Linked DNA regions of Oryzias latipes. The protein of the gene in region 1 purifies or fractionates together with the protein of each later gene. This does not show direct contact. Links are inferred from orthologs where the notes say so. Each region holds a gene or a part of one and is shown in the gene's direction. Other genes may lie near its edges.

Region 1 (4,397 bases):
GCAAAGAGGGAGACGGACAGCTCAATGGCATGAGGAGGTGCGATGAGGAGGAGGTCAATGACCTTCATCATCAAGGAGGTCAGGGACCTTCACTTACATGAGGGTCATGTGATGAGGGAGGGGCCTCAGAGGGAGGCATCAGAACTCCCCCGCCCCCCCTATAACCTGGCCATATTGGGGGAGGGGGGAGACCAGGCTCACCTTCCAGGAATGGCCGTGGCTCCTGTCGCGGTCCACCTCCCTCTGGCAGACGGCGCGCACCACCAGGCCCTGCCCCCTCCACAGCTGCTCGCTCTGCTGGATGACGGCGTGCCACAGCCGGCAGGTCTGCGAGGCGCGGCACAGGCTGTCAGCGTCCAGCTGGCTGAAGATCCGCACGCTCATCTCCAGAGGAAGCGCCTCCACAAAGTTCAGAGGGGGGCGTTCGGGGGGGGCTGCCATCAGGGTGGGGCTTCCTTCCATCGGGTGTGGGGGCGGAGTCTCTGCAGGTTCATCCTGCATCATAAGGGGGGAGGGGGAGGGGGCGACTGAAAGATGAAAGACATTTATGGGGGTGTCAATCAGATTTTAGCACGTGGATCGTGTAGTCTCAGACCCACCTGGTCTGCTCCTCAGGGGTCCACAGCAGTCCGGGATCCGGATCGGCCTTCAGAACCTTTTCATGTGGCCTCACTTCCGGTCACGTTTCAAAAACGTCACAGGTGCTGAAGACAGAAGTCCTACCTGCTCTCTGTTTGGCACCTGAGCCTCGGACGTGGGGGCGGGAGGCGCACGTGACCGAAGCCTCAGAACCGGATCAGGGCTCAAGCGGGACCCCCCACCGGGACCCCACCCCCACCTCCGTCTAAACGAGTGTTTTGGGGGAGAGCAGCTAGCAGACAAACGCCGCCGGTTCCGGTCTGAACTCCGAGCAGAAACGGAATCGGGTTCTTTCCCGAGACGCTGAACCACAGGGACGCAGTAATCAAGCGCGGACAGGACACGGGGTTTGATCCCGACAGCTGACTGTTTAAATGTCCCAACGGTTGTTTGTACACAGACGTGACGTCATCGTGAATTTAAACCACGCGCATGCGTAGAAAGGCCTCACTGTCAAAAAACCAAACTCCGTTGTTTTTAAACTTTTGTAATCTAATGTGAAATTTAAAGAGAAAATATTCTTACTTAAAATCCAAACAATTTATCTTTTTTTGAACGTTTTTTTCTGCGCAGGTCAGTTTACTGATCAACACTTTAACTTCAGGCTGACATGAACATGTTAAGTTTTTGTTTATTTCAATTTTTAATTACTCAAATTGGATCTTTCGTAAAAATCGATGGAAATTTTAACTTTTTTGCTGACACCTTAAAGACACCACTGCGCATGCTCCACTGGAAACCGGAAGTCTGGATTCAAAAGTAGCGGAAGTTGTTCCCGAATTCACCTGCGGCTCTCAGACCCGGATTTCATAGTCCAGATCCGCAGAGACCCGGGTCAATTGGACCCAACGCATTTTCCGAACCGCGTGTGTTGATAAACTCTTCCCGCCAGCCGGACCCCCCCGCCTCCGGAGCTCATGTCCGGCTTCCTCCTGGTCCCGGTGGATGGCGGGAATCCGGTCCCCGTTCCGCCAGGGGAGACGCTGCTGGGCCGGGGTCCCCTGCTCACAGTGAGTCCCGCAGAGTGTCGGGTCAGACAGAGGCGGGGCACGGTCACGTGACTCCGCTGCCACAGCTGGCAGGTGATCACCTGACCTCTGACGCAGAACTGGAGCTGGTACCCCCCTCAGGACAAGTTCCTGAGGGGACGTGGTGTGAGGGACGCTGATCCTCAGCTCCATCGCCTCACAAGTGACTGAGTGTTTCTGTCTCCACCCCAGATCAGCGACAAGAGGGTGTCGAGACGCCACGGGCTGCTGCAGAACCTGGACGGAGAGCTGCGCCTCAAACCGGTACCGACCCCCCCCAGACACACACTCTCCTAGAGTTCTGAACACGGCGAGGTTCAGGAGGACGCCGCCGTCACGTTTTCGGTTCTGCTAGAGTTTGCATGTAGAAAATCCAGACGGTTCTGGTTCCACAGCGACCCGATCGGGTCTTTCAGTTCAGGGTTTGATGATGTCACATCCGGCCAAGATGGAGGAAACCACTGACGTTACATGAACAACGCAACCCGTCACACGGTTTGACCAAAACAGAACCGGATCTGTTTGAGTCCGGTTCAGCTTTACTGAAACGGTTCTGAAGAAGATCCAGGTGGAACTTCAGGCAATCAGAACCATGTGGATCCATCCAGGATGACCTCTGACCTTCTCTGTTCTGTCTCTGCACCTCCTCAGAGGAGGAGCCGTGCCGTCTGCAGATGGTCCTCCTGGTGTCTTCGGGCCTCCCCAGATCCCAAACTGATGCGCTCATGTCCCTCCCCAGACCCACGCCAACCCGTGCTTCATCCAGGCCTCCCTGTCCTCGGAGCCCCGCCCCCTGCCCCAAGGATCCTGGTACACGCTGCGCGATGGCGAGCTGCTCTCTCTGCTGCCGGGGCGGCTGGTCTTCAGGGTGGAGGCCGTGGGCTCCAGGTATTCCAGGAGGGTGTGGGCGGCGCCGCTTTTGTTTGAAGCTGGGATCAAACAGACGGAGGAAGACCCTCCAGCTGATGAAGAGCTGCTCCTGCAGGAGCTGCCTCACGTCTCTGTGTCCTGCAGGAGCATCCGGAGCGCTGAGGAGGAGGAGCAGCTTCCCGCCTCAGGAGAAGGTCAGGAGGGTCCAGCAGGAGAGGAGGGGGCGGAGTCAGACGGGAGATCCCGACAGGTGGGTGCCCCGCCCACACCGTTATGTCAGGCCCTGCGCTGAAGCATCAGGAAGGAAACGGTCCTCGAACCCTCGTTGTCCTTTGAAGTCCGGCCTTTGATCTTCACAGACCAACATGGAGGATCAGAGGCACGCCGCTCTGTCTGAGGTCAGGGTTCGAACCCTTCCTGCCTGGATGATGGCGGCCGCCGTGCAGACCCCAGCCCTCATGCTCAAAGGTAACTGTGGCAAACGGTGCAAAGATTCATGGGTAAAAAAGCCAAATTCAACCAGAGAACCCGAAGGAATCTCTGTATGCCAGGGGAACGCTCAGAACACGAGAGAACACCTGGACTCACCTGAGCGGAACAGCAACGTCCTGCAGAGACCATCTTTGGCTCTTCCTCAGAAATTGCTCTGATCGCTTAGAAAGAGCCGGATCCAGTTCTGATCTGACTGACCGGTTCTGTCTGGTTGTGGTTCTGCTCTGTAGAAGCATGTTGTTGGTCTGATGGGGTTTTGTGTGTGTTTAGTTCAGTCAACTCTTCAGAGGAGGAAACGACCTGCTGGCGGTGTTCAGGCCACGCCCACATCGAAAGAGGAAGAGGAGCAGAGAAAGAGGAAGATGAATGCTGAGGAGGAGAAGGCACCTGAAACGGTTGAGTAAAGCGGTGATGAAGATGCTGAAGCTAAAACCTGCTGAGCTTCTCTGTCTGGAGGTTCCTCCTGGACGGTTCTGAGGAACCCGCCATGCAGACGGTTCTAAGGAACGGTTCTGAGGAACCCGCCATGCAGACGATTCTGAGGTTCTAAGGAACAGTTCTGAGGAACCCGCCATACAGACGGTTCTGTCGGTCTAAGGAACGGTTCTGAGGAACCCTCCATGCAGACGGTTCTGAGGTTCTAAGGAACGGTTCTGAGGAACCCGCCATGCAGACGATTCTGAGGTTCTAAGGAACAGTTCTGAGGAACCCGCCATACAGACGGTTCTGTCGGTCTAAGGAACGGTTCTGAGGAACCCGCCATGCAGACGGTTCTGAGGTTCTAAGGAACGGTTCTGAGGAACCCGCCATGCAGACGATTCTGAGGTTCTAAGGAACGGTTCTGAGGAACCCGCCATGCAGACGGTTCTAAGGAACGGTTCTGAGGAACCCGCCATGCAGACGATTCTGAGGTTCTAAGGAACAGTTCTGAGGAACCCGCCATACAGACGGTTCTGTCGGTCTAAAGAACGGTTCTGAGGAACCCGCCATGCAGACGGTTCTGAGGTTCTAAGGAACGGTTCTGAGGAACCCGCCATGCAGACGATTCTGAGGTTCTAAGGAACAGTTCTGAGGAACCCGCCATACAGACGGTTCTGTCGGTCTAAGGAACGGTTCTGAGGAACCCGCCATACAGACGGTTCTGAGGTTCTAAGGAACGGTTCTGAGGAACCCGCCATGCAGACGGTTCTGAGGTTCTAAGGAACGGTTCTGAGGAACCTTCCATGCAGACGGTTCTGAGGTTCTAAGGAACGGTTCTGCGGAACCCTCCATGCAGACGATTCTGAGGTTCTAAGGAACGGTTCTGAGGAACCCGCCATGCAGACGGTTCTGAGGTTCTAAGGAACAGTTCTGAGGAACCCGCCATGC
Region 2 (3,647 bases), on another chromosome or scaffold:
ACTTTTCTTTATGTAGATGTCAGGTTTAAAGGCTATAATGGTGCATTTGCCAAAGTATTTGAGGACTTAAATGTTCAAACCCAGATCTGGTTCCCCTGGCTAGTTCCTTTAACCCTTGTGCTTTCTTGTTGGGTCCAAATGACCCCACTCCCAAGGTTAACATGCCTTGGAGGCTGAGTTTAAATCAATTGACTGTATAAGAGAACTGGATCAAGTAACCCTGGTGCTATCTTATGGGGTCAAGATGACCCCACCCTTACATTGACATGTTCTTCCTACCATGACAAAGGTGGATAAAGGTAGAGAGGATTTCATGTAATCCATGGACACCAGTGAAGATCACAAATCATTGAAGAAAAAAGGTTCAGCGCACTGTCTAGTGGGTCTAGATGACCCAACTCCCAACGTTAACGTGCCTCCAAGGCACAAGGGATAGAAGCAACTCACCTATTAAACATTAAACTTGAACTAAACCTTCTGTGATTACCTGCATTGAAACATTAGTCACAGCTGCCCTTACGGGTGGATAGGGCTGTCTTCAGATTCGTACAGAACACACGGTCGCCCACACAAAAAACAAAGTCGTAGATCGCTCGGTGAGCCAGGACTGCCAAAATGGTCAAGCACATTTTTCCCACGGGCTCCCTAGGAACAACAGATCATAGTGAACACATGTACAACACATAAGGGTAAGGAAGAGGGAAGTACCGGTAGGTGAAATGTAGGCGTGTTTTACAGAGTTGTCCTTTAAACCCCTTTAAAGCACTAGAAGCTTGTTAGTGCTGTTCACATGGTAAATCTGTCCTGACTGTTAGAAATTAGGAGATTAGACAATCAGAGTGTGGCTTGTGTGGGCATTCCACAGGCATCCTACAGGCACTTACTGGACATATCACATGCACGCCCCGAGTGTGTAGCCTTTGTGCACGGTCAGTAAGGAGACTAAGATTGTAGCGTACAGGGATCGTACAAAAGCATTACCTGTATGTCATAAGTGTGTCTAACTCACATTATCCTTACAAATACTTGACGATACTCTCACCAAACGCACGATAATGGTATGTTACATTTTTATGACGTCCCTTAAGGTGACCGTATGAGCCTCAAGGGAACTGCAAGACATACCTCTGCTCCCCTTAAGGTGTGGCCACTCCTCTCTACGAGCCTCTATGGGCCCAGACAACCCGAAAACCCGCAGCACCCAAATGGGTCAACCGCTGTACGGGTGCATGTGACGAATGCTTACACTGGTGTCCGTTTCTGATCTTTCTTTGTTTTTGTTTCTAAACAGCCAGTGTTCATCTTCCCCGTATCGGCCACTCCACCAAAGCTTTTAACTGGTATGGCACTGAGAGGCTCATCAGGAAGCATCTGACCTCCAAAGGGATTGCCACCTTCATGTATCCTAACACGCCATCTTCTGAACTCACACGTTCTGGTTCAGGCTGTGTGTTCCTTAACAGAACTCCCAGATACTATTACAAGAAAGTGGACAGGAAAACAATGGCACCTCAGACAGCAGCGGCAGCAGCGGCGGGAGCGTCAACGGTAGACCCCAAACAGGCATCAACCAGCTCAGATGGGGGGAGCGACGTGGGCGTAGCAGAAAGCAAAGCTCAAGTGAAGGGCGGCACAGAGCTGCCGGGCTTCATGCACGGAGTCCGTGTGTTTTTCTACAATATTCCTGCATCAGAAAGAAAAAGTATGGCTCGCTACCTTATCACATATCCTTTCACAGCTTTCTGTGTTTCTGAAACGCCTTCAAAAGCCTAATATGTCAAATATGTCAGCGTCAAAACGACTCCTTAACTTCAAAACACATATGATGGAGATGAAGAGGACGTCCTGAGCGACAACGTCACCCACATTGTAGCAGAGGTGGAGAACAACATCCACACACAGGTTTGTATCCTGCTCCCAGCAGGACACTTTTTTATGAAGGATTCACAGAGGAGAGTTTTCCAGCTATTCCAGCATCTCCCTTAGTCATAATGTCTAATGACATGGAGATGCAAAATAATGTGAGGTCCCAGACAGCTGAATAGGTATTAACGACATCAAATCTCTGGAGATAAAGCTTGTCTCCGTTTAAAACACAGAACCTCCTCAGCTCAGAGTCCAGATACTTGAAGCTGCTCGCCCCCCCAAATACAAACAAAATTAAAGCCAAAACTCTCTCCTCACTGAGGAAAGTAATCATACGAGTGCTGAGAGTAGAGCTAAAGACATTGAAGGAAGCTCTGAGTGTGAAAAAGCTGAAAGCTGAAAAAAGCCTTTGAGACCGTGCTGTGGACCAGGAAGTGACCATACAAACTACAGTATTTGATCTTAAAGGCAAGTCGAGCTGTTAAAAGTACAGAATAAAGTCATGGAGGGAAGAGTGAAGAGAGGAAATATGATGGGAGGAGCTGAGCGTCCAGGCAGGAGCTCTCCATCAGTCAATTCAAAGCTCTACAAAAATATGGGGCCTTTTTGGAAAATAAGTAATAATCCAACACTTACCAGAATGTGGTCTAAAGGAGCGTGGGGGAAATGCAAAAAGACATCATGAAGGTACTGAGACTTTGGGTTTTAAAGATGGTTTTGGAACAAACACTGGCTAGAGGAGGGATGCTAACTCCACATGTGGCGGTGACTGGAAATATTTTAGACAACTAAATGATCAAGTCATCTTTAGAACTTCACTGAATGTGGCAGACTCGAGCAGGACAGAAGGGATTGATGCTGCTCTAGAGCAGTGGTTCTGCTGGGCCTCATATCAAACTCCATGGAAGAAGATCCAACAATGACCTCCTGCAGGCGATTCTGACAGCAGCAGTGAAGTCTATTTACATCAATCAGAAGCCTGAAACTGGAAAAGTGAAAGACAGATAACAACTGGAACAAATCACAAAATCTCACAAGACACAAATGCACCAAGAGGTGGAGACAATGAAGCTTTTGTCCATGTTGTACAACTCTGCTCCGTCAATGTCTTATTCTGAATTGTCTAAATTATAATGTGCAAATATGTCAAACCAAACATACGATAAAAAAAATCCTTTTTTATCAACCAAACCTTTGTGAACCAGGAGCTCCAGGATCTGAGGGGTCGGTACCCAGCGGCTGTTCCTGTGCAGAAGGCCTGGCTGGAGTGCTGCTTCTCCAAACAGAGAAAAGTCAACACTGCCCAGTTCCTGCATCAACTTTAAAGGCTCATTTTAAATCATGTTCCAAGCCTGGATGAACTAAGTGCTAAATCATATTAAAGCTGATCTGTTGAAGTGTTTAGGTGTTATTATGAGGGAATAAATTGTACAGTCGTGGCAAAAGTTTTGAGAATTCCATAAATATTGGAAATTGGAAAGGTTGTTGCTTAAGTTTTTATAATAGCAATTTGCATATACTCTAGAATATTATGATGAGTCATCAGATGAATTTCATAGTCCATTTTGCCATGAAATTTGCCATGAAATCCAATTGCCATGAAAATTAACTTTATCCCGAAAAAAAACTGTCCACTGCATTTCATTACTGTCATGTTTAGGACCTGCTGAGTTCATTTCAGTAATCGTCTTGTTAACTCAGGTGAGAATATTGACGCGCATAAGGCTGGAGATCATTCTGTTAGGCTGATTGGGTTAGAAAAGCAGACTTGACTTGTTAAA
Region 3 (3,313 bases), on another chromosome or scaffold:
TAAAAAAAACGATGCTGGACGGGCCACAAGCTGAAACAGAACTCTGCAGAAACTATGTCAACACAGCTTTTTTGATTTTTGGCACAAAAAAATAGCATAATCATAATTAAAAGACCACTGGGAACACTTTAAAAAAAGACCAAAAGATGATCAAAGTGAAACCTTAAACAATTTAAAGCAATTTTCTTTGTAGCAATCTCATGAAGAAGGTCATACCCAAAAAAAACTCCAAAGTAAACTCAGATTGTCAGCAAAGCAACACTCGCTGCTCTAAAGTTGTACTTGTTCTTCCTCCCACCAGGGGGCATCATGTCCAGTTTTCTGATGGGCTGCTACGACCCAGACTCAAAGAAATGGTGCACCGTGACCAAGTGCTCCGGAGGATACGATGACGCCATGCTGGCCCGGCTCCAGAAGGAGCTGGATGTGATTAAAATCAGCAAGGTCAGAGAAGATCCACTTAGAGAGGCGGAGCTGGAAAATTCCAAACAGTCAGGAGTTCATCCTCTGCTTCTGTAGGAGCCGAGCAAAATCCCCGGCTGGCTGAAAATCGTCAAGAACTATTATCCAGATTTCATTATCCGCGACCCTGAGGTGAGGTGTTCCGCTCGGCGTCCGGATCCTGCAGGAAAGCGCCAGCAGTGCTCGCGGGCCTCTCATGTGCTGCTTCCCTCCCGCAGAAAGCGCCGGTCTGGGAGATAACCGGTGCCGAGTTCTCCAAATCGGAAATGCACACCGCCGACGGCATCTCCATCCGCTTCCCGCGCATGACGCGTATTCGCGACGACAAAGACTGGAAGACCGCCACCAACCTGCACCAGCTCAGGGTGAGACCTTCAGTTTCCTCAGCGGCCTAAAACACAGACGTTTGGGCAGAGATGGCCGACGGCGAGGTGTGCAGTCCAGCTGATTATGTCCCGCTGAGAAGACGGGAGGTCATGTGACAAATGATGAAGAGGAGGAGCAGAGGTTCATGGGTTTAAACGTGCGTCCATCGCTCCCGCAGGAGCTGTTCCGCATCTCCAAGGAGCACTGCGACTTCAAAGTGACGGCCGGCCCGTCCACCGCCGACAACAACAAAGGGTCGTCAGGGGGGGACAGCACGGGGAGCTCGCCGTCGCCCTCTTCCAACACGAGCGCTCCCCCCAAAAAGACGGGTAAGTTCATCTCTGATGTCGAGTCTCCCTCAGAACGTCTGTTCTGGCTCCAAATCAAAGGAAAAGAAAAAACCTCAATGTCAATCTGATGCTAACATTTCACAGCTAACAGAACACCAACGAAAGCAAAGGCCCAGAAGTCGGAACCCCGCACTCCCAACTCGGAAGCTTCCAGCGCCAAAAAGGTGGGCAGGGCCGACGTGAACTGATATTTGGGATCTGGGTCAGGTTCGTTAAGAAAAGAGGAAATCCTGCCGGACTTTAGTAAAAAGTGTTTGATCCGACGACATTTAGTCACTAAACAGCTGCAGACGTCTCCATGGAGAAACAGTCTAAGATTTTAAACGTCTTTTACAATTGTTTAAGCTGAATGCACCTTTTTAATTCAACAGCAACGTAAAATTGTTTACAGTTCATTATTGCTTTATTTATAACACAACAACATGAAATTATTCAGTAAGAAATGTCAGCAGTTCCATTATAAACTCTGGAAAGTTCAAATAACCGTTTTGCTCTCCAGTTCTTCTATGAGTAGCTCCGCCTAGTGTCCAAACCAGGAAGTGCAGTCGTGTAAAACTGACTAGTTTTTCCACAAACAGATGAAGAAAAGCGAAAATGTCAACAGCAACGGGCAGCAAAGTAAACCCAGAGCGACCCCCCAGCTCCTGGAGGCCAGGAACGACAAGGTGGGTCCAAAACCCTCCCTGTCCTCCCCCAGGACTCGCACTGACCGGCGGTCCTCACGAGGGCGTCTACAGACAGACCAGCGTTTGGGTTGAAAGTAGAAATAATCAGAGAACAATGTAAATGTTGTCTGTGGTTCTGGAGCAGCTGAACAATAGAACCGGCTTTATTCTTCTTTAATGTTCTGATTCAGACTCAAGCCTTTTATGAGGAAGAGTTTCAAACATGACATTGTTGTCCTCGCGGGTCTGGACGACCCGTAAAGTCTAAACGATGTATAAAAAAGCGGGCAACTGTGTTTGATTTAAAGTTTAAATGAGGTGAAACTCCTAATCAAATCCAGCCTTCAAACTTTGGTTCTGGACCGTCTCAAAGGTCCAGTTCTACTCCAGAGAACCAGTTAGAAGCTGAAAGACTAGATTAAAAACAGGTCTGTCAAAAAGTTATTTTCTTCCAGCGAACAGCTTACTTCTTCGGTTCTGTACGCCGGGGGGGAGGGGCATGACGCGTGTTTGTGTTTGGCCGCCCTGCAGACGCTGCTGGACATCTTTGGTGGGGTGAAGCTCTTCCTGCCCGCCTCCATCCAGGACGCCGACAGACTCCGGAGGTACTTCGTGGCGTACGACGGAGACCTGGTGGCGGATTACGACGCCGCCTCCGCCACGCACACGCTGGCCCCACCCGGAGAGGACAGCCGGGCTCAGAGGGTGTCGCCCAGCTGGATCTGGGAATGCATCCGGAAGAGGCGCGTGGTGCCCCCCTGCTGAGAGAGTTGGAACCATCAGCCTCGGCTCTCAGGAACGGGTTCTGCAGATGAATTAGCAGATCTGATGGACTTTTTCTTTTTTCTACTACAAACGCTAAAATCATGAACTGAACACGAGATGTAGATGAAAGCAGACTTCTGTAGTTTAAAGTTAGAACTGAAAGCTTGTATTAAATCCTTGGTTTTTGTCACAGATACAAGCGACTCCTCGTCTCTTTTTTTAAGCACTTTTAGGCAAAAAAAGGAAAACGTTCACAGAGTTTACGTTAACGCCACATACAAACGTGTTCCCAAGAAAAGTGCTGCCATGAAGCTCAAACACTCCAGAAGAAGCTCAATTAAAGTTGGAAGTTCTCAAATGAAAACGTCCAAAAACAGGGCGCTAGCCTGTTTCCATGGCAACGGCCACCTCAACACTAAATAACTAGAGGAAATACTGATTAGTTAAGGATTTAAAGGAAGAGAACTTGTGTCTACAACTTTTTTACTACGCAAATGAAGGTATGGAAGTGTATTGAGTGCATTAAAAAAAGTCTGGTATTTATTTCTAGATAACTTTCTTTGTTTTTTGCTGTAAATCTTTATGAACTACAAAGTTTATTTTTTTACAGCAAAAAGGATTTTGAAGAAACAAAACTTTAAAAAAAGAAATTTTCTCGAAAAAAATCTCGAATAAAACAAATTCTCTAAGAAAATCCTGGGGACA

The links.
Region 2: the proteins of aplf (region 1) and chd1l purify together in Homo sapiens (affinity purification with mass spectrometry; 4 studies listed by BioGRID and IntAct, counting the BioPlex papers as one, with this or other methods). This does not show direct contact. The link is inferred for Oryzias latipes from reciprocal best matches to the Homo sapiens genes APLF and CHD1L.
Region 3: the proteins of aplf (region 1) and lig3 purify together in Homo sapiens (affinity purification with mass spectrometry; 3 studies listed by BioGRID and IntAct, counting the BioPlex papers as one, with this or other methods). This does not show direct contact. The link is inferred for Oryzias latipes from reciprocal best matches to the Homo sapiens genes APLF and LIG3.

Annotation. Positions count from the first base shown.
Region 1 is NC_019859.2:725,961-730,357, reverse strand, and holds the start of aplf (aprataxin and PNK-like factor), read left to right. Parts: upstream 1-1,530; 5' UTR 1,531-1,556; coding exon 1,557-1,649; intron 1,650-1,859; coding exon 1,860-1,931; intron 1,932-2,406; coding exon 2,407-2,555; intron 2,556-2,681; coding exon 2,682-2,787; intron 2,788-2,896; coding exon 2,897-3,005; intron 3,006-3,299; coding exon 3,300-3,424; intron 3,425-4,397. Other genes in the region: fbxo48 (F-box only protein 48), read right to left, coding at 202-504. UniProt on the Homo sapiens protein: Histone chaperone involved in single-strand and double-strand DNA break repair.
Region 2 is NC_019862.2:6,469,636-6,473,282, forward strand, and holds the end of chd1l (chromodomain-helicase-DNA-binding protein 1-like), read left to right. Parts: intron 1-1,291; coding exon 1,292-1,400; intron 1,401-1,472; coding exon 1,473-1,724; intron 1,725-1,820; coding exon 1,821-1,902; intron 1,903-3,071; coding exon 3,072-3,191; 3' UTR 3,192-3,346; downstream 3,347-3,647. UniProt on the Homo sapiens protein: ATP-dependent chromatin remodeler that mediates chromatin-remodeling following DNA damage.
Region 3 is NC_019872.2:27,680,939-27,684,251, forward strand, and holds the end of lig3 (DNA ligase 3), read left to right. Parts: intron 1-301; coding exon 302-444; intron 445-519; coding exon 520-594; intron 595-680; coding exon 681-827; intron 828-1,006; coding exon 1,007-1,157; intron 1,158-1,262; coding exon 1,263-1,342; intron 1,343-1,756; coding exon 1,757-1,843; intron 1,844-1,965; exon of another isoform or gene 1,966-2,374; coding exon 2,375-2,608; 3' UTR 2,609-2,804; downstream 2,805-3,313. UniProt on the Homo sapiens protein: Isoform 3 functions as a heterodimer with DNA-repair protein XRCC1 in the nucleus and can correct defective DNA strand-break repair and sister chromatid exchange following treatment with ionizing radiation and alkylating agents.